Linked DNA regions of Canis lupus familiaris. The protein of the gene in region 6 interacts with the protein of the main gene of each other region in a pairwise test. Links are inferred from orthologs where the notes say so. Each region holds a gene or a part of one and is shown on either strand. Other genes may lie near its edges.

Evidence for each region.
Region 1: the proteins of NTAQ1 (region 6) and PRPS2 interact in binary tests that used the Homo sapiens proteins (3 or more experiments, as listed by UniProt). The two-hybrid records come from large-scale screens. The link is inferred for Canis lupus familiaris from reciprocal best matches to the Homo sapiens genes NTAQ1 and PRPS2.
Region 2: the proteins of NTAQ1 (region 6) and NT5C1A interact in binary tests that used the Homo sapiens proteins (3 or more experiments, as listed by UniProt). The two-hybrid records come from large-scale screens. The link is inferred for Canis lupus familiaris from reciprocal best matches to the Homo sapiens genes NTAQ1 and NT5C1A.
Region 3: the proteins of NTAQ1 (region 6) and MTUS2 interact in binary tests that used the Homo sapiens proteins (3 or more experiments, as listed by UniProt). The two-hybrid records come from large-scale screens. The link is inferred for Canis lupus familiaris from reciprocal best matches to the Homo sapiens genes NTAQ1 and MTUS2.
Region 4: the proteins of NTAQ1 (region 6) and VCP interact in binary tests that used the Homo sapiens proteins (3 or more experiments, as listed by UniProt). The two-hybrid records come from large-scale screens. The link is inferred for Canis lupus familiaris from reciprocal best matches to the Homo sapiens genes NTAQ1 and VCP.
Region 5: the proteins of NTAQ1 (region 6) and PYGM interact in binary tests that used the Homo sapiens proteins (3 or more experiments, as listed by UniProt). The two-hybrid records come from large-scale screens. The link is inferred for Canis lupus familiaris from reciprocal best matches to the Homo sapiens genes NTAQ1 and PYGM.
Region 7: the proteins of NTAQ1 (region 6) and CBY2 interact in binary tests that used the Homo sapiens proteins (3 or more experiments, as listed by UniProt). The two-hybrid records come from large-scale screens. The link is inferred for Canis lupus familiaris from reciprocal best matches to the Homo sapiens genes NTAQ1 and CBY2.

What each region holds. Positions count from the first base shown.
Region 1 is NC_049260.1:9,248,135-9,252,360, reverse strand, and holds the start of PRPS2 (ribose-phosphate pyrophosphokinase 2), read right to left. Parts: upstream 2,801-4,226; 5' UTR 2,710-2,800; coding exon 2,588-2,709; intron 1-2,587. UniProt on the Homo sapiens protein: Catalyzes the synthesis of phosphoribosylpyrophosphate (PRPP) that is essential for nucleotide synthesis.
Region 2 is NC_049236.1:3,281,409-3,285,505, forward strand, and holds the start of NT5C1A (cytosolic 5'-nucleotidase 1A), read left to right. Parts: upstream 1-1,297; 5' UTR 1,298-1,335; coding exon 1,336-1,461; intron 1,462-4,097.
Region 3 is NC_049246.1:10,425,575-10,428,592, forward strand, and holds the end of MTUS2 (microtubule-associated tumor suppressor candidate 2), read right to left. Parts: intron 1,422-3,018; coding exon 1,208-1,421; 3' UTR 501-1,207; downstream 1-500. UniProt on the Homo sapiens protein: Binds microtubules. Together with MAPRE1 may target the microtubule depolymerase KIF2C to the plus-end of microtubules. May regulate the dynamics of microtubules at their growing distal tip.
Region 4 is NC_049232.1:51,932,994-51,935,647, reverse strand, and holds the end of VCP (transitional endoplasmic reticulum ATPase), read left to right. Parts: intron 1-1,156; coding exon 1,157-1,311; intron 1,312-1,462; coding exon 1,463-1,568; 3' UTR 1,569-2,154; downstream 2,155-2,654. UniProt on the Homo sapiens protein: Necessary for the fragmentation of Golgi stacks during mitosis and for their reassembly after mitosis. Involved in the formation of the transitional endoplasmic reticulum (tER).
Region 5 is NC_049239.1:52,911,184-52,914,683, forward strand, and holds part of PYGM (glycogen phosphorylase, muscle form), read left to right. Parts: intron 1-265; coding exon 266-367; intron 368-686; coding exon 687-834; intron 835-1,140; coding exon 1,141-1,199; intron 1,200-1,326; coding exon 1,327-1,468; intron 1,469-1,918; coding exon 1,919-2,126; intron 2,127-3,500. UniProt on the Homo sapiens protein: Allosteric enzyme that catalyzes the rate-limiting step in glycogen catabolism, the phosphorolytic cleavage of glycogen to produce glucose-1-phosphate, and plays a central role in maintaining cellular and organismal glucose homeostasis.
Region 6 is NC_049234.1:22,155,355-22,159,533, forward strand, and holds the start of NTAQ1 (protein N-terminal glutamine amidohydrolase), read left to right. Parts: upstream 1-1,379; 5' UTR 1,380-1,471; coding exon 1,472-1,560; intron 1,561-4,179. UniProt on the Homo sapiens protein: Mediates the side-chain deamidation of N-terminal glutamine residues to glutamate, an important step in N-end rule pathway of protein degradation.
Region 7 is NC_049243.1:5,417,093-5,421,096, forward strand, and holds the start of CBY2 (protein chibby homolog 2), read right to left. Parts: upstream 2,801-4,004; 5' UTR 2,717-2,800; coding exon 2,642-2,716; intron 2,332-2,641; coding exon 2,251-2,331; intron 1,648-2,250; exon of another isoform or gene 1,601-1,647; coding exon of another isoform or gene 1,547-1,600; intron 1-1,546.

The DNA.
Region 1 (4,226 bases), on a different chromosome or scaffold from region 6:
TGTGAGTTTGAGCCCTACCTGAGGTATAGAGATTACTTAAAAAACAAAACAGGGCAGCCTGGGTGGCTCAGTGGTTTAGCACCGCCTTCAGTCTAGGGCGTGATTAGGAGCAGACCGTGATAGTTCAGTGTATACAATTATAATCTCATTGGGATCCCTGGGTGGCTCAGGGGTTTAGCGCGCCTGCCTCTGGCCCAGGGTGTGATCCTGGAGACCTGGGATCAAGTCCCACATGGGGCTCCCCGCATGGAGCCTGCTTCTCCCTCTGCCTGTGTCTCTGCCTCTCTCTCTTCCTGTGTCTCTCTCATGAATAAATAAATAAAATATTTTAAAAAACAAAACAAGGGCACGAGGTAGCTCAGTCAGTTAAGCATCCAACGCTTGATTTTGGCTCAGGTTATGACCTCAGGGTCCTGGAATTAAGCCCCACAATGGGCTCTAGATCAGCTCTGGGTCTGCCTGTGATTCTTTCTCCCTCTGCCCCTCCCCCTGCCCACATGTGCCTTCACATGCACACTCTAAATAAATAAAATCTTTGAAGAGTGAATTGTTAAAAAACAAAAAAACATATACTGTACTAACTATTGTTAGTCTGTGACAAGCAATTGCCAGACTTCATGCTGAATGGTTTTTGAGACCTCAGGATTTCTAGTTATCAGGTGGTGGCTATAAAATACTCAAAACCAAATAAAACAGAGTTAAAACAAACACGCAATTGTATTTCAATGTCTCAATGAGTTCCAGCCAACAGTACATACAGTATCTTGGGCAGAAATGCAACAGTAACATCTCTAAGCTGGATTAACTCTGCTCCTGGAGCACCAAAGGACTGCACTGCCCTGGGGAAACAGGGAAGACCAACATACTTGCTTTCAAAATCTACTTCACCCAGAAATTTCTCCTCTAGTTACAGGATGCCACCTGGTGAACAAAACCTCGTATCCCATTCTCCGTCTAGCTGCTGAAGCTTGAATAGGGCTGGCCAGATACAACAACATTGACACCTAGCTATAGTAGCCTTTTCCAGAGCCCTCCACGCCATCCTCCCAGACTTCTGTATTAAACCCTTCCTGCAAAGCGGAAATCTTGGCAAGGGCCGCCCGCACATCTACCACCTGTTACTCATTCACGAGCGATCTCTCCTTGCTGGCCTTATCAACAGGACTGTCTGTGTGGTGATTTCCCACCTGGAGGAAGGGCTGCACATAGCCTATAAAGCTGACTCTAAAACACCATCCTCCCCAGATGTATTAATATTCATGAACTCCTCAGCGTCTAAAAAATTTCTGTCTACTCCAAAAGTCCTCAAGGTCTTCTCCCTCGTTTTTTCTTTTCTTTTTTTTTAAAGATTTTTATTTGTTTATTCATGAGAGATGCAGAGAGAGAGAGGCAGAGACTCAGGCAGAGGGAGAAGCAGGCTCCATGCAGGGAGCCCGACGTGGGACTCGATCCCAGGACCCCGGGATCACGCCCTGGGCCGAAGGCGGCGCTAAACCGCTGAGCCACCCAGGGATCCCCTCTCCCTCGTTTTCTTCTGGAAATGTTTAGTTCCAGGCTTCACATGTACGTCTGCGATCCGTCTCAAGTTAATTTCTGAAACAGTGGGAAGCATGGATGGGTTTTGCTGTCGTTTTGGCAGCTCGCTCCGCTTGTGGAAAGTGGTGGTAGCCCTGGACCTGTGCCAGAGCGAGAAGTGATCGGTAACCGCGGGCGCGCTGGATCCTTCGGGAAGGAGCTAAATAGGAGCTACTTGAAACTGGTTCAGAGCTTTGTGGACTCAGGCAGGTGGAAACCGGAGCCCGTCCCGCTTGTGAGGCGGGCCGCCGGCCTGGCGACCGCGGCTGCTGCACCGAGACCCGGGTGGCAGTCACGCTGGGCCACGGCCTTGCCCTGGACCCCGCCGAGGCGCACAACCACGACGATGATGAAAGCCATCAGCTTTGAGGCAGAAAAATTCGAGGAAGCCCCGGGAAGCAGCACGTGCGCCCGGGCGCTCTCACGCTCCGTAAAGGCTCCGCACCAACACGCCCTGCGGGTAAGCCCGCGGGCTGCACCCCGGCTGCTGGGGACTCACCCGGGGGCTTGGAAAAGGCCCCCGCCCCCGCCCGCAGAGCAGAAGCTCCGGGGCAGGGAGGGGAAGCGGCTTTTTAAACGGCCCCCAGGTGAATCCGGCGCGCGGCCCGGGCTGGGGACGTGGGCGGAGCCGTCGGTCGCACGCCCGGGGCTTGGGACCCGCCCGGAGGGGACCGGGAAACCGGACTCGCACGCCCAGGGCCGTCCCTAGCCGCGTGCCCTGCACCCAAGCGGTTCCCGCCGGCGGCGCCCACCTCGCCCCGACGCTGCGGGCGCCCCGAGGTCGCCCTTCCGGGCCAGGGGCCGCCCTCCTCCGCGTCTCCCGGGCGCCGCAGCGGTGGCGCGGAGGCCGCGTCGTGAGCGTCCCGCCCCGGAAGGGGGAGCGGGCGGCCGCGGAGTGGTCCCCGGGGGGGGAGGTGGCGAGGTGCAGCGGGGCGACGGTCCCCGCCCGGCCCCGCGGCAGCGCGCCCAGTGCCCTCCCCGGCCCGGCCCGGCCGCCGGCGCGGCCCCCCACCTGGTCTCCTGGTTGCTGAACTTCTTAGTGACCACCTTGCCCAGTTCCAGGCCCAGCCGGTCGGCCACGCGCTGGGACAGGTCCTGGTGCGAGCTACCGCTGAAGAGCACGATGTTGGGCATGGCGGAGGCGGCGGTGGCACCGGAGGCTGCGACGCGAGCGGGAAAGCGCGGCTGTCGACCAAAGGAGGAGCGCAGGGGAAAGGAGCTGGAGGGGGCGGAGCTGGAGGGGGCGGAGTCGGGGCGGGGCTCGAGGGGGCGGGGCGGTGGAGCGGGAAGGCGCCGCGGCGGGACCGGAGAGGGGCGGGGCTGGAGGGGGCGGGGCTGGAGGGGGTGGAGTCGGGGCGGGACTCGAGGGGCGGGGCGCAGGAGCGGGAAGGCGCCGCGGCGGGACCGAAGAGGGGCGGGGCTGGAGGGGGCGGAGTCGGGGCGGGGCTGGAGGGGGCGGAGTCGGGGCGGGGCTGGAGGGGCGGGGCGGAGGAGCGGGAAAGCGCCGCGGCGGGACCGGAGAGGGGCGGGGCTGGAGGGGGCGGAGTCGGGGCGGGGCTCGAGGGGCGGGGCGGAGGAGCGGGAAAGCGCCGCGGCGGGACGGGAGCGGGGCGGAGCTAGAGGGGGCGGAGCTGCGGTAGGACGGGCGGCAGACCGGGAGCACTTGACCCCGTTCTTGACCTTTCTGCCCTGCCTGGAGGTGCCGGACTAATTGGACACCGAGGGAGGGTGCAGGAGGAGGCGACCGACGTGCCCGGCAACCGCAAGCGACCCCTCGACCCGGAATACCCCAAACCCATTGCAGACGACCGGTGTGCAGCTACGGGGGGCTGCAAAACTGCGGCCCGCGGGCCAGGTGCCCGGCGCTGCCTGTTCCTACCGGAGAGCTAAGCATTGCTTTGACACAAGAACCTTCGCAATCTGCGTGATCACAGCTGTACGACGTTCGCAACCCAATTGAGAAAAAAAAAATCCCCTTCAAAAAACAAACACAAAAACCCCAAAACCCTTTCCTCTCATTAGTGGCTGTGTACTGCAAAAAGTTGTACCAAATTATTATGTTTTGTCAATAAAAATGTTGCAAACATGTGTTTTCTCTCGTTATGGAAGTACCTACATAATAATCTCTCCATTTTGCTTTGTAGCCCACAAAGCCTAAATTATTTATTATCTAGTCTTGAGTCAAAATTATCTGATGCCTGAACTACAGGATTACCCTTTGTCCTTGAAAAAGCCAGGATGCCAGTGGCCATCTGAGCCCTGACCACAGATGGAGGGGCAAGGTTGCTCTCCTTAATGACGGTAAATTGGATCAAACCAAGCCTCCTCCATATTCCTCATTTGTAGGTACCCATCCGGCCAGCTTTGCAACTTCCTGCCTTTTGGGTTCTCAAACGCCTGACCCTAGGGACCTCACCCCCAGCGCCCCAACTCCCACCAGATGGTCCCCAGTCACAGCTCTCCATACCCCTGCAGCGGGCTGCCTTCCCCTCTCTCCGGGCAGGCCAGAGCAAAAAAAAAAAAAAAAAAAGGTTTTCTCAAGCAAATGCAGTCCTAGAGCCAACCCTTGTGCACAAATCAAATGTAGGGGAAAGGAATGTATTACGTGGGAACGGAGGACCAGCGTGTTAGTGATGCTGGCCAATTTAATG
Region 2 (4,097 bases), on a different chromosome or scaffold from region 6:
CTCTTGCAGGGCGTCTCTGCTGCCCTCTGCACATCTTTTCCCATCTTTTTCTGCTGATCAGCTCATTCTGCTCACAGAGTGTCTCCCCAATCTTAGCCATATGGTGCCCATCGCTGCAGCCTGCGAAGGCTCATCCAGGTCTGTGTGACCAACTCACATCGCCAAGGGGCAGGCACACTAGAGAGAGTTGGGGGCCATCCATGGAAACAATCTATCGAATCTGGAGAAGGACAAGTCTAAACACACTTACCCCAATCCTAAAAGTTTTTATTGTTTCCCCCTTCCTCCCACACGAGGTTTGGTTGGTTTCCCCCACCCCAGGACATGGTGGAGGCTGGGCCTATGCCTCCATTCTGTACCCCCTTCCAGCCACATGCCCTCCAGTATGTTCTGCTGCTCCCGTACACCTGTGCCGACCTCGAGGCTCCCGCAGAGATGCCCCTTCTGCTTCCTGATCTATGCCTCGGTGGCATTAGTGGCTGCACCCCGGGCTCCGCACCAGGAGGGCACAGGGATGGTGGTCCAACAGGCTTTGCTTCCCAAGCCCCTTTCCTACCCTCCCTCTCTAAGCCGCTTCAGCTTCAGAACCGCCCGAGCTCTGCAGGTGGAACCTGTGAGCGCGAGCCCCCTACTGGCCGTCAAGGGGCCAGCAAGAACGTGGGTTCAGAGTCCCCGGGTGTCTCCCCGGTAAGGGTCCCCCGCCAGGCCGAGGGGCCCCGGTGTCGCCACTGACTTCAAACGTCCTTCCGCCTTGGTGGGGAGTAGCTGCCAGCTGGGCCCGCTGTGGTGCGGCGGGCTGGGCGCCGGGTCCTGCTCGAGGACGGAGCTGTCCACCCGCCACCCTCTCCCTCCGCAGGATGGACTAGGGTCGGCCATCGGATTCCCAGGGACTTAGCTTTGGGCGGGTGGGGGGAGGCTAAGGTTTCCATTTTCCCCTTGGAGGATCACCATCCTGGGAAGAAAAGTTGTCAGGCCTCTCCTCTGTCGGTGCCCCTGATCCCCGAAATCCCGAATCCGCCGCAGCCCACAAGCCTGCTCCGGGGCCCCTCCTCCTGGGAGCCCGACACGCCAAAGCCTCCCTAGTGCCCGCCCCCCGCCCCGCATTCACTTGGGGAGTCAGCTGCCCCGCAGGGACATCCAGCGGCAGCAGCACGCCCGCAGCGGGGAGGGCGAGTTTGGCGAGCCCCGGCCCCCGCCCCCCCGCGGCCCGCGCGCGCACCCTCCCCGCCGCGGCCCGCCCCCTTCCCACGCCCGGGACGCGCCTCCTGCAGCAGCGCAGCCCCGCCAGCGCCGCGTCCCCGCCGCCGCTCCCGCCCGCCCGGTGGCCTCCGGAGCATGGAACCCGGGGAGCCCCGGGCGCCCCGCGAGCCCGGCCCGGGGGCAGAGACCGCGGCGGCCCCGGGCTGGGAGGAGAGCAAGACTTTCTACGACAACCTCGCGCCCAAGAAGAAACCCAAATCGGTAACAGCAGGGCCTGGGGACGGAGGAGGGCAGGGGAGGGGGCTCCGCGGGAGGGGCGGCAGTCCCCGGAGGGGCCCGAGGCAGCGCCCGGGGGGGACGCGGCTCCTCCGCCCCAGAATGTGCCGGGCCTTTGGCGCCGGCTCGCGTTTATTTTGGGAGCTGCGCGCCGGTGTCTTCTTGTCCCCGGGGCTCGGGTTCCCCGCCAGGGCCCCCTCCCCCACGCCGTCCTCGGCCCGGCTCCTGCGCGAGCGGGCGGCCGGGGCGCGCCCACTGCACTTGGCGGCGGAGCGGGTGCGCGGCCCGGGCTCGGGTAACCGACTCTGGAAACCCGGCCCCTCGCGGGGCGCTCAGGTGCCCCCACTGGGCTTCGGGCTCCGGACCCGGCGCCTGCGTTCGGGCTTCTGGCTCAAGGCCCTGCGCTCCGGCTCCGGCTGCTGCGCCGCCTGCGTCCTCAGGGAAGGAGCGGCGCTGGGCTCTGCGCCACAGCCCGGGCCTCCGCGCCCATCGCAGGGCGCATCAGCGCCCCCGGGCCCCCCGGCCGTCTCAGCCCTGGGAGACCCACACAGAGGCGAGAGCTCCTCTTGCCATCGGTCAGATCCCTGATGTCCCGGCTGTCCCTGGGCCTTGCGCATTCCGAGCTCTCCGAGCTTGGGAAGGGGACTGAGCAGGAGGTTGGCCCAGAGGCATCCTCTAGACGGTTCCCGCCTGACCTTAAAGCATCCTGCTGCTTCCCTCCAAGGGCCCTTCCCCAGGAAGGGGGCAACAGTCACTCCACAGTCATTCCCTGCAGCATCTCTAGGCTCTGCTCAGCAGTGGGAACTGGGAGATGAATTTGGTTGAGTCCCTGCCTCAGGAGCTCACGGGGGCTGGGGGAGACCGGGACATGGTGAGCGCTCAAAGCAAACACCCTACATGCAGCGGAGGGAGCAAACAAGAGTGAGTGACTGCCACTGAGGAAGGCTCTGCAGACCTAGCCTTTGAGCTCCTAGCCTTTGAGCTCACCGTGAAGCCTGGGTATGCAGCATTTCCCAGGCAGACAGGGAAACAAGCCCCTAAAGCCTTGGGGCTGACTTTGAACCTGAGTAGGAGAATGCAGGATCTTTGGAAGACACATGGGAGGGATGCCAGAGATCCCACACAAGGCCTTGAATGCCATACTAAGGAGCCTAGGTGTTCAATGAGGTTAGGGGTTTTAAAACGAGTTTCCACTAGGGCCCCATGTTTCTGGAGGTCTGAACACTTATGGATCCAATTTATTTTCCTTTTTCTTTAAACTACCCCCTAAACAATTAAAAACGTGTAATAAAACTCAATTCACTCTAATGCATTAGATGGACATCTTAGCACCTTCGATTGATTACACCAGTATACTAATTTATACTGCAGGTTGATTAGGTGTTTTTGTTGTTTTTAGTAAACTTCAGATTAAAGCTTTTCCTATAAACTGTTTACTAGAAGTTTATCTTGAGATTGCTGGCAATTATTGTTGCTGAGTACCTTGAGGCCCGTAGTTTAAAACAAAGCAAAAATTTTTTTACCACTTGCAACCACTTATTGGTGTGACTCAGGACTTTCTCAATACTGTGTGCACACACCAACCAACACCGGAACAGATTGACTAGACAATGAAGTTTAAGTCTGCACGGGCAGCCTAACCCCCAAGTTTCAAATTTATTACTTATACAACCGTGCTGTTTCCATTGGTTGACAAAATAAACATAAGTAAATAACAAATAAGTAAATAAAATTTTTTGTATGAATGTATGAATGAACTAGTAACATACATTTATGCTAAGAAACTATAGCAATATCTAATTTACATATTGGGGTTCTCCCAGGAGTCCATTGAAAGAAAAAGTCAACCTGCTTTTTAAAAAGGAAGAAAACCATTAGTCCCATTTCATTCGAGCAAGATCGCTCTGGGGCCCCGTAAGGGAGGGATGGGAGAGTGAGTCTGGCAGCAGGCAGACCAATGAGGAGGCTGGTCTCTGCCTGAGGAGGAAGTTTGACTAGTGTCCTGGCCGTGGCCCAGGAGATGGACCCTGGGGCTGGGGTGGTGAGTGGAGCTCACCAATGCATCTCCATCCCAAGTAGGGTGGAACCAGGGAGCTCAGGCCTAGTTGTCAGCCATGACCCCTGAGGCCTCATGGTCCTCCCAGCCCCCACCCCTTCCTGCGGTAACCCCTCCTCCCATAGGCTATTTTGGGGCCTTAGACCTCTTGGGCCCCATTAGAGCTTATTCTCATTCCCAGGAGCCTGAGTGGAATATTTCAGCCCTGAAGGCCTGTAGGAGCCTCTCACCTCAAGGGGTCAGACATCTCCTCCGTTCAGACCTATCTTGTCCCTCTCTCCTCCAGCAGCTCTTCTCCCATAAGACTTTTTAGAAATAACAGCTTTTGGCTGCCTTCCTCTCTTGGACCTGACAGGAGGAGAATCATGTTGGCCTACATGAGAGCTGGCTCTCCTCCATTACCGCCCCCCCCCACCGGACCCCCAGCCCTGGGGAAAGGCGGAGAATTGCCAGGACCCTAGCTCCCTGGAGCCCACTGTTCCCAGGCTGAGTCCCTGCTCTAGGAGAAGGGTCCCCCGACCCAATTCCCACTCTGGAATCCAGATTCTTTCTGTGTTCTGGAGAA
Region 3 (3,018 bases), on a different chromosome or scaffold from region 6:
TGATGATCGAGCACAGCTGCAAAGTGATCCCCCGGATGGAAGGGTCAGTTTTCTGGAAGCCCCTGCAAGAACCCCTGAGCCATCTCAATGTACAGTTATGGGGTTGAGTTATAGGACCAAACTGATGAGGGGGGATGGTTGTCTATGAAGTGGGGGCCTGAGGGTCATATTTTGATTTATAGAATTTATAGAATCACATTGGAGCACACCACATGGGATGCCAGAGGATGCCTTCCTACTCTGTGCTCAATCAAGATACAGATCCTACCAGCAGTTTTCCTTCTGGAGGACAGAGCGCGGATGGTCTTGGCCAGCTCCAAGGTCATCCTCACCCTCACTCCAGAAGGTTATGTTCTTCCATATTTTCCCAAGGGTGTAGTAGCTTAATGATGGATTCTAAGATGTCACTTAGGAAAAAAGCAAATCTTGTGTTTACAAGACTGTAGATGATTCACTGTCGTGAGAAGCATCTGCAAACCGCTAAACCCCTCAGGATTTCCCACTGCTATCCCTTAGGCACTCACGACAGGAGTATTAATAAGTAAAACTTGCGAATGGAATAATAGTGACCTCACATCATGTTGACTAAGAAGCTGACTGTTCCAAAGGCAGTTACTGTTCACAAATCGCTGGTGTTTGTGTTAGAGTACCACTTGGTGGTAGGTTGAAAGGCGCTTCTTCTCTATCTTTTTTTTTTTTTTCCTTTTTCTATTTTGGGTAGAAATATTCCTGGGAAGCTAGATAGAAATGCATTTTCATATCCCAATAATTCTTAGGCACAAGTTAGAAAACTGCTGACCTTCACCAAAATATGTCAGCACTTCATGTTATAAAAAATGCAATTCAGAACCGCTGCATGTGTATATACGTATATCTAAATATACACACATATCGGTGCAGTACACAAGGATTATTCAATGTATATTCAAAACTGAGCTATTTGTAACGAACCTGAAATTCTGCAGTGAAAGTTCATTGCTCAAGAACAACTGGAGTTTCTTCCTTTCTTTTGGCTCTAACTACGGTCAAACGTTTGCACATCAGACACTACCGTTTACACTTTCCTAAGTGCCAACACCAGGACAGTCTTATATGAGGATCAGAAGAGGACTTTGCTTAGGATGCAGCTATGCAGCTACTGAGCATGCGCGCAGGGCCAGCCCGGTCAAGACTCCGTCCGTCCGTCCGGGTGGAAGCGCTGGGTGGGTCATCTGGGCGTCGCGCTGACTCTGGCGGGCGAGGAGGGCCCCGAGGAGGAGCCACGGTAGACGGGGGACGTGGGCGAGAGTTTAACCGGGCTGGTTGGGTCCCCAGTTTGGAGCTTCCAAAGCAGCTCTTCGTTGGTTCGGCTCAATCTCTTCTTCTCCTGGGTTTCTTTCTCCACATATTCCTGCAGGTTGGCATTTTCCTCCGACAGTTGTCTGCATGGGGAGAACAGGAAACAATCAAGCAGCGATTCTGCTGGAAGGCAATGAATTTGAGATTCACTGGGCCAGGGGGGTCGGGGCAAGGGAGGAGGCTGCAGCCGCCTGCGGGAGCACGGGGACCAACGGGACCACAGAGACCAAGCCCCATGGGCTGAAGTGTGATTTCCATGCTTCACGCCGACACATCCGTTCCCTCACAGTCCCTCTGCCCCATCAGGGGAGGCCCTAGCTGTCCCCCGGACAGAGCAAATGCTGAAGGCAAAAGAGGAAAGGAGGGAAGTGGGGAGCTAGTGTGCGTGTGCCGCACAGGAGGCTCAGAGATAGTGGCCATCAACCATAAGGACAGCACAGGGACAGTGCCGTCAGCCCCAGGATGCCTCCTGGCCTCCCTGGCCCTGGCTCGGGTCCCCGTGAGAGCAAGCGTCTTCCCCTGCTGCACATGCTGATCTGTGCATCTGCCTGCCTGCTGGACCGAGAGCCCTTGAGGACAGGGGCCAGAGCCGCTTTCCTTGAATCCCCAGCATCCAGCCTGGCGTCTGGCACACAACAGATGCTCAATTAATGGTTGTTGATAAGGGATGCTAAATGAAAAAGGGATCGATGCATCCTGCGCTGTCATCAAGTGTGAGTTGCTTGCTTTGTTGCATTTTGTATAAATGAGGAACTGACAGGGATGAGTACACAGGCATTTTGTAGCTGCACGGACTCAGCCCAGGAAGCCAGCTCACTTGGATAAAGCCTGGACTTGCTCTTTGGGCCAGGTGCCTTTGTGATTTCCAGGGGAGGCATGGGCTGGGGTGGCTCAGGTTGAGCAGGGTGGGTGACAGACCTGCTGCCCTGGCACAGTCTCTCCTGTGAGCCTCTGGGGTGGGAATGAATGCCAGCACCACGAGTTCAGTTGCGGAGGTAATGTGTGTATGTGTGTATATGTGTGAGTGTGTGCAACTATATGTGTGTGACCTGTGAGGGGGTGGGCACACAAGAGTGTGCATGCCAGTGAGCATGATCGTGCAAGTCTGGGAGCATGCACACTTGTGTACACCTGTGGGTGACAGGAAGCACAAGTACGTATGTGAGTGTGCGTGTGCATCACAGGGTGACATATATGGATCCAAGAAGGAGTTCAGTTCAGTAAGGGGTCAGGGGACAGGCAAGGGTCCCACAGAGAGAGCTCTATCCTCATGGACAAAGTGCAGGCACACCTCATTTTACTGTGCTTCATTTTACTGCACTTTGCAGATATTTTTTATAGGCTGAAGGTTTGTGCCAGCCCTCAGTAGAGTACGGTTACTGGTGCCAATTTTCCAACAGCATTTGCTTACTTCACATCTTCACGTCACGTTTTGGTAATTTTTGCAATATTTCCAACTTTTTCATTATTATTATGTTTGTTATGCTGGTCTGTGATCAGTGATCTTTGATGTTACTACTATAATCGTTTTGGGGGTCCACAAACTACATCCGTATAAGATCGCAAACTTAATCAATTAATGTTGTGTGTGCTCTGACTGCTCCATCGACCAGACTTTCCCGGTCTCTCTCCCTCTCTTTGGGTGTCTCCCTATTTCCAGAGACACAACAATATTGAAGT
Region 4 (2,654 bases), on a different chromosome or scaffold from region 6:
ATCTGTATCATCTTGCATGTTTTCCGGTGTATTTTGGCACCATGTTAAAAAATGAATAAATGAATAAATGAATGAATGACTTTATCTTTTGTAGGAGTTCTGAGACATTCCTTCTCCCTCCCATAAAAGCTTAGAACCCATTGATAACACTTAATCCTACGGAGCAATCTCATAAGTCATAGCAATTGAAGTGGCTTTTTTTTTTAATTAAAAAAATTTTTTTTAAATTGAAGTTCAAAAAAAAAAAAAAAAAAAAAAAAAAAAATAAATTGAAGTTCAGTTTGCCAACATACAACACCTAATGCTCATCCTGTCAAGTGCCCTTCTCCGTGCCCGTCCCCTCACCCATCCCCCCACCCATCCCCCCACCGCCTCCCCTTCCATTACCCCTTGTTCGTTTCCCAGAGTTAGAAGTCTCTCATGTTTTGTCACCTTCTCTAATTTTTTCCTGGAGAGGCTTCTTAGTGGAAGAGATGGGGTTTGAGCTGATTTATGAAGAGAGACTATAAGGGCTAAGGAAATAAGCAGCTCAAATAACTGGCTCAGGAAATAGGATTGTGGGAATTGGGAAAAACCTGGGTAGATTTAAGAGGGCATATGTTACTAGAGGTGAAGCCACTAGGTAAGGTGTAATCCGGGTTTGGTAAGCGCTAAAAGTTATTTTATCTTTTTAAAATTTAGGTGGTTAAAAAAAAAATAAATAAAATAAAATAAAATTTAGGTGGTTTAGTTTATCTTGTTTTAGAAACTTTATTTTTAAAATTTAAGTTTATTGATATGATTCACAGATAGTAAAATTCACCCTTTTAGGTATAGTGCCTCCATGTATCTTGACAAATGCATTTAAGTTCTATAACTATTACCACAGTTCAGATAAATTTCTGTCATCCCAGAAAGTTCCCTTATGCTACTTTAGTCACCTTTTTTTCCACCCTAAGCCCTTGGCAACCACTAATGTGATTTTGTCCATACAGTTTGGCCTTTTCCATAATGCATTGACAGGTTTTTAAACATAGTGCACTGACTTAGTTTTAGGAAGATTGGCCTTGCAACTTATTCAGGTTGGTTTAGAGAGACAGGGATGGGGGCAGGAAGGCCAGGGGAAGAATCCAAGCTGGACTTTAGCCCTGGTGGTCTGTGTTTACCAACCTTATAGGAGGTAGAAGAAGATGATCCAGTGCCTGAGATCCGCCGAGATCACTTTGAGGAAGCCATGCGCTTTGCCCGCCGTTCTGTCAGTGACAATGACATTCGGAAGTATGAGATGTTTGCTCAGACCCTTCAGCAGAGTCGGGGCTTTGGCAGCTTCAGGTAATCACGTTATAGTGGGCAATACTTAAGTTGTCTTGGGTAACTGTACAGCCAAGGTTGTGGGAGTCCTAAGGAGGCTGGGGTTAGTTGTGAAAATCCTACATAGGCCCTATCCTAACTCTCTTTTTTGGCTCTGCTTTTGTGCATGCAGATTCCCTTCAGGAAACCAGGGTGGAGCTGGCCCCAGTCAGGGCAGTGGAGGCGGCACAGGTGGCAGTGTATACACAGAAGACAATGACGATGACCTGTATGGCTAAGTGGTGGTGGCCAGCATGCAGCGAGCTGGCCTGGTTGGACCTTGTTCCCTGAGGGTGGGGGCGCTTGCCCAGGAGGGACCAGGGGTGTGCCCATGGCCTGCTCCATTCCTCAGTCTGAACAGTTCAGCTACAGTCAGATTCTGGACAGGGGTTTCTGTTGCAAAAAAAAAAAAACAAAAACAAAAAAAACAAAAACAAAACAAAAGAGATAAAATAAAAGCGATTTTCATTTGGGAGGCGGAGAGTGAATTACCAACAGGGAATTGGGCCTTGGGCCTACCCATTTCTGTTGTAGTTTGGGGCAGTGCAGGAGACCTGTGTGGGTGTGAACCAAGGCACCACCGCCACTCCCCACAATAAAGCATCTGCACTTCGCTCAGTGCTACCCAAGCCCTCCCTTCTTCCCTCTACCCAACCTGGGCAGTAGGACGAAGGGCCACAGTTGCTGGGTGTTTATATAGAGAGTAGGTTGATTTTATTTTACATGCTTTTGAGTTAATGTTGGAAAACTAATCACAAGCAGTTTCTAAACCAAAAATGACATGTTGTAAAAGGACAATAAACGTTGGGTCAAAATGGAGCCTGAGTTCTGGCCCCTGTGCCTGCTTCTTTTCCTGGGAAGGGCCTTGGGCTACGCCTTACTGTCAAGGCACTCTTCAAATGTGAAGTACTGAAAGCAGGATTGCACCCTCTTCCCCACCTGATTAACAGTGGTATGATCTGCTGCCTAGTGCCTTGCCCCATGACTGCATGGGAGGTAGTGCAGCCTGCCCTGATGGAGCTCTAGTTGTGGAGAATATGGTATTCCTCACCCGTGTTTGACGTGGATGGTAAAGCTAGGCCTACAGAGCTCTCTTTTCCTGACCAAGGACTGAATTGGGGTGCCCTCCCAAAATAAGGGTTGTAGAAAGATAGAACTTCTGAGGTGGGTGTTCTTTTCATGCATCTAAAAGTCCTAAACATTTATGCTCTGGTTGAGGATCACTTATAATTATGTCCACCTTTACTTTATGTAATTTGTATTATATAAAAAAAAAAAAAAAAAAAACAGTTTTTTTCTAATATGAAATTCTAGTATTGGATGTG
Region 5 (3,500 bases), on a different chromosome or scaffold from region 6:
CATGGATTGTGAGCAGGGCCTCAAGGTCATTGCATGTCTGAGGAGAAGGCCAGGAGAAAGGCCCCCTGGGGTCAGGGCGGGTCAGCCATCAGAGTCCCAGGTCTGAAGGGAAAATGCAGTGCCCCGCACACACTGCATCCCTGCTTGGAGGCTGGAAAAGGAGGGGGTGTCTGCAGGGACTGGGCTTGGCTGAGCTGGAAAGGGACCCCTCCGGGAGGGAGAACCAAAAAGGGGCACAGGCTTGACTGTGAGCCATCTCCCACAGCGCATTGGGGAGGACTACATCTCAGACCTGGACCAGCTGCGCAAACTGCTCTCCTTCGTGGATGACGAAGCCTTTATCCGGGATGTGGCCAAAGTGAAGCAGGTAGGCAGTGCTATGACCTGGGACACTTGTGCCAGGGTGGGAAGGAGTGGGCCAGAGGTGCTGGGTGCCCGGGTCGGGAATGGCCGAGGGAGCTTGACTCTCCCTCAGCCTTAGGCCCCTGATGGAGTTGCCTGGAGTCCATGGTGAGAGCGCATCATTTGACTCCACCGGAAGAGTGCTAACATTGATTAGCAATGTCTGCTCTGGGCCCAGCGTGGAGAAAGGTGGCAAGTGAACCTCCCGTCGTCTACCTTTCTGGGCAAGAAATGGCACTGAGGCTAAGTCCTGTTGGTGAGCTCTTCCCCATCCCCACCTTCAGGAAAACAAGTTAAAGTTCGCTGCCTACCTAGAGAGGGAATACAAAGTCCATATCAACCCCAACTCGCTCTTCGACATCCAGGTGAAGCGAATTCATGAATATAAACGCCAGCTCCTCAACTGCCTCCACATCATCACCCTGTACAATCGTGAGTGGCGGGGTTTCACTCTGGCTCTCAGGGCTCCCCTCTGTACACCTGTTGGTGTACTACATACTTCCAATTCAGTGTCTCTCTTTTGGCTTTGGGCCAACTCTTGGGACATAGATTATCTCCATTTCATAGACGGGCAAATGGAGGCTCAGAGAGGGGGAAATGAGAGATTGGAGGTTACATAGCCAGTGGCTGTCCAAATCAGGTCTATTATCTCTCAGCCAGGGCCCTGGCTGGATGCATGCTGTCAGGAGGTATTGCCAAGAGGGAAAACCTGGCCCACTGTTCTGTGTTTCTCCACAGGCATCAAGCAGGAACCCAATAGGTTTGTCGTGCCCCGAACTGTGATGATTGGAGGGAAGGTGAGAAGTCAGGCCACAGACTGTGGCTCTGGTCCTTTGGCATCCAGGTTGAGGGTGGCCTGGCTGGGTTGCAGGATAGGGGCAGGATGCTGGGCTGTGCAGCTGACTCCAGACTGTGCCCCCACAGGCTGCCCCTGGATACCACATGGCCAAGATGATCATCAAACTCATCACAGCCATTGGGGATGTGGTTAACCACGACCCAGTGGTAGGAGACCGCCTCCGTGTGATCTTCCTGGAGAACTACCGAGTCTCGCTGGCAGAGAAAGGTGGGGTGCCACCAGAGGGAGGCTCTGAGGAGTTCAGCCAGGAAGGAATATCTGTCACCTGTTCCTTAGCATACTGGCACTTGGAAGAAAAATCTGGGAGAGGACAATCCTCAAATCACAAGGATGTCCCCCTCTGATGGTGTAATTTCAGGCAGTACAGAATGAAATTATAGAGAAGATTGAAATTAGTGGGAAGATTTGCCCTTCAAATCACACACACACAGTGGGGTGGAGGTGGGGAGAGAGTCCAGGTTAGATTTCAGGTGTTCAAGATCATTAAGCAGTTGGGGGAGGCTGGTGGTGAGATGGAGATTCAGTTGGTTACTTCTGGAGGGTGAGGGTGGAGGGGGCTCTGAATCTGCTATACCTATGGCCAGCCTAACTCCACAGTCCCTAGCTGGGGTGGGACTGTACCCGGAACTGAGCTTGTACCCTGTGGCTGCCCCACAGTGATCCCAGCTGCTGACCTCTCCGAGCAGATCTCCACAGCAGGCACGGAGGCCTCAGGCACTGGCAACATGAAGTTCATGCTCAATGGAGCTCTGACCATTGGCACCATGGACGGAGCCAATGTAGAGATGGCAGAGGAGGCGGGAGAAGAAAACTTCTTCATCTTCGGCATGCGGGTAGAGGACGTGGAAAAGCTTGACCAGAGAGGGTATGGGGGTCAAGGGCTCCAAAGTTCACAGTCCACGGGCAGGAGGCCCTGAGGTGTGGCTACTAGAGGGCAGGGCTCCCTGGAAAGGCTGGCCCAGGCTGCACAGCGTGTTAGTTTTGGCCACGAGGATTCTGGAGAACTTGGGAGGAGGGACTTATAACACAGAAGGCTAGTGGCAGGGGAAAAGAAGACACTTGGAACTGAAGGAAAAAGAAGAAATTATATCAATTCTAGGACATATTATTTCTGGCATTTCTGGCAGCTGTGGCAAAAAGAGAACTAGGAGTACAGTAAGAACAGCTGTGCTTATGGTCAGACGTGCAGTTCTTCAAAGTAGATATTTTCCTGGCATTACATTTTTTTAATTAAGATTTTATTATTTATTCATGAGAGACACACAGAGAAAGAGGCAGAGACACAGGCAGAGGGAGAAGCAGGCTCCATGCAGGGAGCCTGATGGGGGACTCGATCCCAGGACTCCAGGATCACGCCCTGGGCCGAAGGCAGATGCTCAACTGCTGAGCCCCCCCAAGTGTCCCAATATTTTTTTAAAAATAATTTTCCGCCTTGCTTGTAGTTCTCTCTTTTTTTTTTTTTAAAGACTTTTATTTATTTATTCATTAGAGACAGACAGACAGAGAGACAGAGAGAGAGAGGCAGAGACACAGGCAGAGGGAGAAGCAGGCTCCATGCAGGGAGTGTGACGTGGGACTTAATCCTGGATCTCCAGGATCTTATCCTGGGCTGAAGGCGGCGCTAAACAGCTGAGCCACCCAGGCTGCCCCATCCCAATATTTCTTAAAATTTATTTTAAAATATATTTTTTCCTTCTCATGAAAGCAATACGTGCTTCCTAATTAGAAAAATCCCAAATAACAAAATAAGTCATTCATAATCTCATCACCCATTTTTAAAGCCACAGCCCTTTTTCTACGAATTTACGTGTACATGTGTACATATATAGAAGTTGGGAATAATGCACATACAATTTTGAGGTCTTAACACAACTTTGGATCCTGATGTCATTAAATGGCCTTTAAAATATTTAACATGTTTGTATAGGGTTCTATCGTAATGGACATACTATAACTTATTTAAGCAGTTCCCTGGTGTTGGACCTTATGGTTGATTTCTGCTGTTTGTCAGTGTAAATATCACTGTGATGACCATCCTTTTATATCTACGTCCACATCTTTATTTCCTTTAGTTGATTATTAGAGGGGATATTTCTGCGCCCCAAAAAGTATGAATTTTTTTTTTTTTAAGCATGAGTTCTTAAGGCTCTTGATGCATGTTGCCAAATGCTTTCCAGAAAGTTGGTACCAGTTTACACTCCCACCTACTGCTTCTGAGAGCTGGCATTAAATATTGAAA
Region 6 (4,179 bases):
TAAGAGGGCTGTAGGAAGGTTATTGCCAAATTTGGGCTGTAAGGTCACAGAGGAACTGGGTTTGAACCTGTGGCTGGGGCAGACCCCACAGGATGTACTCAGGATCACACTCCCAACTCTTGTACTGCTCTAGAAACTGCAAGGAGCTTCTTCCTCCAGCATACTTTACTCAGAAGGCTTAACTTGGTGCCCGCTTTGAAGGAGAAATGCTCAAAGTAATTGCTATTTATCACAGAGCCTATGTCGAAGTGTGTTCAGAGCTGAGAGGCAATGCCTTGATAACTGACACAACGACATATGCTCAAAGTGTTTAGGATTTACATATGGGCTTTCGAACTCCTGACATTGGGAAAGCCTGACTGCAGATAGCCTATGAACAGACTAAGAATTTAAGTTTTTATCATGGGAAGTACCCTGATGAGTTATGCATGCTCATTACTAGTCTAAGACAATTCAGAAGGCTATTAAGTATAAAGTGAGAGTCCTTCATATCATTCATTCATCAAAGATAAATACCGTTTTAATAATTTGGGGTCTTTCCTTCCAGGCTGCTGGCAAATAAAAATATGATTAACACGAAATGAATGCCATGAGGACTCCTTTTAAACTTTTAAAAACTTTACCAAGAATCACTATATTTTTCTGGGTCAACGTACACAATTCTAATAAAAACTTGTCACAGCGCGGTGAGCTTCGGGGTGGCTGGCCCCGGACGTATTTGGAATTCGGTCCCCCCTGCCCCTGCGCTCCCGCGGCCTCTAGGAAAAAACTGCTAAAGCTCCGTTTTTTACATACAAGGTTCTCTCATTTGGCGTCTCTTCTGGTTCCTCCACGGCTGTTGGCAACCCCAGACCCGGGCTGGAAGAGGGCCTCCGACGCCTCCGGGAGATCCCCGAAGCGCCATTTAGGGTTGGGCGGTTGACCAACCCCACGCTCTGCCCCCACTCCTCCGAGCGACCTGCGGGTGACCTCTGCCCTCTCCACGCTGACCTCAGTCTCGCGGGGCACGCCCGGCCCCGCCCCAGCCGCCCAGCTCCGCCCCAGGCCCCGCCCCCAGGAATTACGTCATCCTCCTCGCCCCAGGCCCCGCCCACTGGAGACCCACGCCGTTCGCCGCCCTGGATCCGCCCACTTGGCCCGGCCTCCACGCTCCCGGAACCCGCTCGGCGCTTCCCTCCAGGCCCCGCCCACCGGAACCGCCGGAGCCCGCGCGGCCCCCGGCTCCGTCCACCCGGAACTGGCACCGCCCTCCCTGGCGGCGCGCGCCCGGAAGCTGCGTCGCTCGCTCCACCCAGGCTCCGCCCGCCGGGTCCCTGGCTCCACCGCCCGGGAGGGAACTGCACCCCCGCCTCAGGCTCCGCCCGGGAGGCCCGCGCCGCGCGCCGAACGCCGGCTCCTCCCCCGAAGCCTGCCCGCGGGGCTGGTGCAGTCGCTTCGCCTCAGGCCGTGCCCGGGCCCCAGCCAGCCCGCCATGGAGGGGGATGTCCCCGCCGCCGCCGCCGCCCGCTACCAGCCGGCCAGCCCCCCGCGGGACGCCTGCGTCTACAACAGCTGCTACTGGTGAGGGGGCGCGGGCGCAGCCCCCGGCATCCCGGCTCCCGCGGTCTCGGCGTCGCGGCCGGGCCCCGCCTCTTCCCGGCCCCTCCCTGGGGGCGCTCTGGGTCTCGTCCGGCGAGGTTCCCGCGTGGGGGCTGAGGGAGCGGGAATGGCAGCCCTCGGCCCTTGAGAGGAGCGCAGGCACGGGGCGGGGGCGGATTCCCAGGGGGTGGGCTCGGTGGTGCATTACTAATGCCCGAAGCCTTTCGCTTGGACTTTTGTCGGCAGATCTCAGTGCCTGGGGGCCAGGAAAGGGGAGTTGGAGGCGGAGGGTGGAGCGCAGAGAACCGTTGCGGATTATCCTGCTGAAGCCTTTGTGGTTTCCCCACTGATGTGAAAGGTCATTTTAATTTTAGGAAGAGAATGGGAGAGCGGAGATTTTGCAGTAACTTTCCAAGGTCATCGGCTAATAGCAGCCAGGAATCCAATTCAGGCCTTCTTGTACCAGAAACCATGAGCTTAACCACCATGTTGTCCTGATCGTGCCCATTGTATTTACATAGCACTTGCTGTATGCCACTTGTTTGTTTGTTTTTTTTAAGATCTTATTTATTCGGGGGGGGGGGCAGGCTCCCTGCGGGCCCGATGTGGGACTCGATGGATGGATCCCAGAACTCCCGGCAACAACCACTGAGCCACCCAGGTGCCCCCCCAAACACTTTTTTTTTTTTAATTTTTTAAAAAATTTTATTTATTTATGATAGTCACAGAGAGAGAGAGAGGCAGAGACACAGGCAGAGGGAGAAGCAGGCTCCATGCACCGGGACCCCGACGTGGGACTCAATCCCGGGTCTCCAGGATCCGCCCCGGGCCAAAGGCAGGCGCCAAACCGCTGCGCCACCCAGGGATCCCTTTTTTTTTTTTTTTTTAAAGATTTATTTATTTATTCATGATAGACATAGAGAGAGAGGCAGAGACATAGGCAGAGGGAGAAGCAGGCTCCATGCAGGGAGCCCGACGTGGGGCTTGATCCCGGAACTTCGGGATCGCGCCCTGGGCCAAAGGCAGGCACTAAACCGCTGAGCCACCCAGGGATCCCCCCAAACACTGTTTTGATTGGCTTATGTAAACCAATTCATTTGAGCGGGGGTAGGTGTTATTGTTACCCCCGTTTTAAAGATGAGAACATCGAAGCACAGAGGGTGCAACTAATTTGCATAAGGCCATCCTGTCTAGTAAGTGAAGAAATGGGGATTTACCTGCAGGGTTTGGCTCTGGAGTCCACACACTATCCCCTTGGCCTAGGCCACCTGTGTGACCAAATCACCACTCCTACCTCTGTCTTTTTCGCTCGTACACTTGAGTAATTAATGACTTCTTCCCCAACTTTCAGTTGCAAAAGAAACCTTAGGCCCATCTAAAACTACCTTTTCCTCCTTTAGCTGGCGGTCAAACCATGTCACCAATTTACATCTGTTCCGCTCTGACTGCATGTCAGGGCTAGTGTCAAGTGTTTCCATCCATGGCTCCGAGATAGGTTCTGTCATTTACCTCATTTTATTAACGAAAAGAATGAGCCACAGACAAGCCATGTCCAAGGTCACACGTGTAGCAAGAGGCAGGGCTGAAATTGGAACTGTAGTACAGGAGTCCATGATTCTTAAAGACTGTACTTTAGTACTGCCTTACCTCTCACCTAAATCCTATTAGTTTTTGTCCCTAGCACCCATTCATTATTTTACTTGTTCATCTGATGTTTATTAGGCATGTGGACTGTGTGATATTACAATTGTGGGCACTTGGGAGACAGCAGAAAATAGATTCCCTAGTTAAGATCTTATGGTTCTTAATATTTTGGTTCAGGGAAAGCAGGCAAAACCACGTAAAACCATGTTTGGTGTTAAGTGCTATGAAAAAATAAAGGTAAGGGATGGTGACTCACTTTTATAATGGATATTTAGGGAAGGCGTTGTTGGTAAAGTGGTATTTGAGCAGAGATCTGAAGAAAAAAAAACCGGTGGGAGCTTTGTGGATATTGGAGGAAAATCATCCCAGGCAGGGGAGCAGTGGTGCAAAGGCTCTGAGAACGAAGTGTGCAGGAGTATTCTAGGAACAAGGTGGCTCGTACAGCGAGAGTGCAGTGGTCTGCTGGAAGAATGGTCGGAATGGATATCTCTTCAATAGATGGCCTCCCTTAATTAAGTTCCTTCAGCTGTGGGCTGAGCCCTCCTCGGCTGTCAGGGGCCTGTTCCAGCCCTTCCTTATAGGACTCTGCCCAGATCTGTTTCCTATTCCCTCAGGTCCTAAACCTTAACTGGCTTCACACTGCTAAAAGTCGTTCTAAATTCAAATGAGCCATAGAATCACTTGGGAGCTTGTAAAGTGTGCAGATCTTAGGGTTCTACTCCAGAGAGTCTTGGTGTGTAAACAGTACAGTGGAGGAGTCTTACACTCGTCCATTGATCACGTTTTCAGGAATATAGGCATAAACAGTAAAGTCTGTCTCCTGAGCATATTCAGAGATCTGGTCACTTGTGTTTCTGCAATCTTATTTTGAGCCTGCCTTCTATGCCCTAACCCAGGGTTTCTCACCCATGGCTTTATTGACATGTGGAACGTGCTAATGTTGTGGAGGGCTGTTCT
Region 7 (4,004 bases), on a different chromosome or scaffold from region 6:
AAGGTGCCCACAGAGGAGGCGCTATTTCCTAAAGGCAAGAGAACAGAGAGAGCTAAGATGTGACCTGGCCCCACCAGGTGGCATAGGCCTAGCTTGTGGTGTAGCGGAGAGAGTGGACACTGGCCTGCTTTCAACCCCCTATCTAGCTCTGCCATTACTGGAGAGGCTGCTGGGGCTCAAGTTTCCCATGCCTATACAATCCCTACCTCACACTAGCATTGCCCAGTGCCTGCCACATGACCAAACCAGTGCTCAGTCACTATTTTTCCTCCCCTTGTTAACCAGGTCAATTTCCCCTGAGTCATGCACAATTTCATTTGGGGAGGTCTAACGAGTACACTGGTCCCTTCACAGTCCTGGTGGTGGCACAGTCCAGATAATCTAAATTTATAGACACCCACACCCCTCCCTCACAGTTTCAGCCTAGAGCATCCTGGCAGGTGTCTGAAACTTGGTGTATGACTTGGGTCTCCCTGGCAGGTGTACCCATGAGGGGTATACATTCCGTGCCCTCCGTGCCCTCCAAAACCACAACAGCAGCACCAAGTCCTGCAGTGCAGGAAGTGAATGGCCCCAGAACAAGCTTGAGCCTTCTTAAACCACCCCCCAGGTTCTGTTCACCTTCTCTCCTCCTTCAGGCTGGCCTATCTCTGGGACCTACGCGGGGAGAGTTGTACTAGGTATAGACAGAAGACTTTTTCCAATCTCTTTATCACATGACCACTATTTCAAATCCTATTCCTGGGGCACCTGGATGGTTCAGTGGTTGAGAATCTGCCTTTGGCTCAGGTCATGATCCCGGGGGGCCCCTGAGTCCCACCCACATCAGGCTCCTTGTGGGGAGCCTGCTTCTCCCATTGTCTGTATCTCTGCCTCTCTCTCTCTCTCTCTCACGAATAAATAAAATCTTAAAAAAAAAATCCTATTCCTGCCCCTATCCCCAACCTCACCCTCAGGTTGGCACCCTCTTCCTGTCCCTTAGTGAGGCTGTGAACAAACCAAAGGCACAACACCCACCCTCAGGGGAGTAGTGGCCAGCAGAACTACATGGCATTTCAGTGGAAAGAATCAGACCTAAAGCAAGGTTCCTTGAGCTGTAGGAACCCTGTGGGCAAGCCATCCTGTCTAATGATCAGGACAAAGTAGCTTATAGTCTAGGCTTCATGAGCTGAAACTGATGAAGTGGCTGCTCACTACAAAGTTATAAGGATAAGGGGAAAACAAAGAGCCAGAATGTTCTTTTGTCCTGTCTTTCCCTCCTACTGAATATACTTGCCCAGACTGTTACAATTATCTCCACCTATTGAAAGAATGACAGAGTTCTTCTTTGTCATCTTGTTCTTCACAAAATCCTTAAGATACGGCTTTAGAAAACATGTATATATCATTTTGTTATGTGTACTAGATATAATTATGTAGTTATATATTATATATGTAATTATATATTAAATATATGTTACTATAAATAAATAAGTATATATATAGGATGCCCACTGGTACTCGATCCTGTTCCTACACACCCTGTACCTCGCTTTCAGGTAGTTACCTCTGCATTGGATTCCTCCAGCCTACATTTCAGCCCCTCTGGTTGCACAGCCATGATCTTCCAACAGTGCCTTAGGTGACTCTAGAGAAGCAAGGCTGCCCCTTTGTGACATAGCAGCAGGAGAAACAATCCAGTCAGGAGAACCCCACCAAGGAAACGGCTGCTTAGCAGGACAACACCTGAGACTCTCCAGACTGTCAAGACTTCATCCGTTTACGGGCCTCCTTTCTGAGTTCCCCTTCCACTCTGTCTTTGTATCCAGCAGGCCTCAATTCCCTTGGCACCTCCAAATCACCCTGTACCTCTTGGTCCACGTCCTGGGCTTTCTACTCATGGATTCAGTCATATGCATTTGGTTCCAAGTCTCAGTTCTAATTCTCTCCCAGAAATCCGGAATGGTTGTACAATAGCAAGCACCAAAACATTGAAGTCTGGGAAGAATGTGGCTTACTTCAGAGTGTCATAGAAACTGTAAGCATTATGAGGGCTGAGAGGTCTTACCAGGTCACCGAACCCACCTTCCTCATTTGAGGGATGACAAACTGAAGACCCAGAGTAGCTAAGTGAATTCCCCTTGGCACACAGCTAGTTGGCAACTAGAGGTCCCGACTACCCTGTTCATTCTACAATATCTTGCTACAGTCTTGAAAGAGGAGGGTTATTCCGGTTACAAGGAAGTTGCACCCTTCTGTGATTATCCCTACCTGAGGCAGAACCACATTGATTGGAATTTCTAGGCTTTCAGATCTGGTATCTCTTTTTCTTGCAATACTTGGCCTCGAGTGCTGTGGGAAAAGAGAAAATAAAACGATATCTGCTTCCCAGCCCATCCTCTGAGCTTCAATTGCTCAATCTGAAAAACAGATGACTTTCTATTCACTTATCCCCTCTTGTCAACTATGTACATTATGAAAATCTGAGTCTGAAACAATGTGAAGATAGTATCTGAAAAGATGCTTATCAATCTCTAGACAGAAATTAAGACAGATTTTATAGTTGGTGTTAAAAACCTTCCAAAAAGTCTTTGGAGCAGAGATACCCATACCTAATACCTTTTCTAAGGTTATTACTTCTATCTCAAGTAAAAAGCCATACCAATGTTAGGTGCCAGGTATAGGTCCTATGTAGGAGTTGGTCACCAAAACACTCAGAACATTCCAGAGGTGACATCACAAAAAAATACGGTGTTTTTCAGGGCTCATGGTCTCTCTGAGCATCACAGGTGGGAATGAGGCACCTGACAGGAAGAGTCACCCTGGTTATGTCTACCTGGCTGGTCAGGGTCAGTGTGACACACAATAACCCAAACATTAGCCCCCTATTTGGTCATCTTTGCTACTATTCATATCGCCACTGCCTGGCTGGGCTGTAAGCCCTACCTTCTCTCTAGAGCTAGCATCTTCTACTTGGAGAAATCCAAACTGAACTCATTTCAGACCAAGAGAAGCCACGGAGTCTGAGATATTTTCTGACACCAACCAATTCTCCAATTCTCTGAGGCCAACTGTATGTCCTATAATTCAATTCAATTCTTAGACAATCTACTTGGAGTGGGTGTCAGGTCACCTAAGTTAAAGGCCTCAGTCCCACAAGACTGCCTACACCAGACTTTAGACACCAGTCACAACTCTCAGGCCACGAGTATTTCTGAATGACCAGCTATGAATTGGCGGGGGTCCTACAAACCCCTCCGCACCTCTGTAATTTGCTAGGATAGCTAACAGAACTCAGGAAAACACCTTACTTACAATTACTTTTGTTATAAAAGATGCAGCTCAGAAACAGCCAAATAGAAGATGCTTAAGTCAAGGTATAGGGGGAGAAGGACATGGAGCTTCCACACCCTCACAGGTCATACCATCCTCCCAGCTTCTCCATGTGTTCACCAACCCAGAAGCTCTCCTAACCCTATTAAGGGTTTTTATGGAGGTTTCATTACCTGGTCGAGGTTGATTAAATCACTGGCCATTGGTGATTAAAGATTTCCAGCCCAACCCACCCCCCATCCCCCATTTCCCAGAAGTGGAGAGGTGAAATACTTGAAAGTTCCCAACCTCTAATCACATAGTTGATTCTTCTAGCAACTAGTGCCCATCCTGAAGCCATCTAGGGGCCACCAAGGGTCACTTCATTAGCATAAAGTCAGGTGTGTTCGGGGGCACTCCTTGTGAATAATAAAATCCTGCTTTAAATTCTTTTGGATATATACCCAGAAGTGGGATTGCTGGATTATATACAGTTTTATTTTTAATTTTTTGAAGAATTTCCATACTGTTTTCCCGTAGCTGCTGTGCCATCCTTTTACATTCCCATCAACAGCTCACAAAGGTTCCAGTTTTTCCACATCCCTGTCAAAGCCTGTTTTCTGTTTCTCCAAGGGTTTCTAGTGATTAACTCTCACACCACTGGAAAACTCAGTTCAGCTTTCCCTTATAGATGCACCTCATAGAAGCACCTG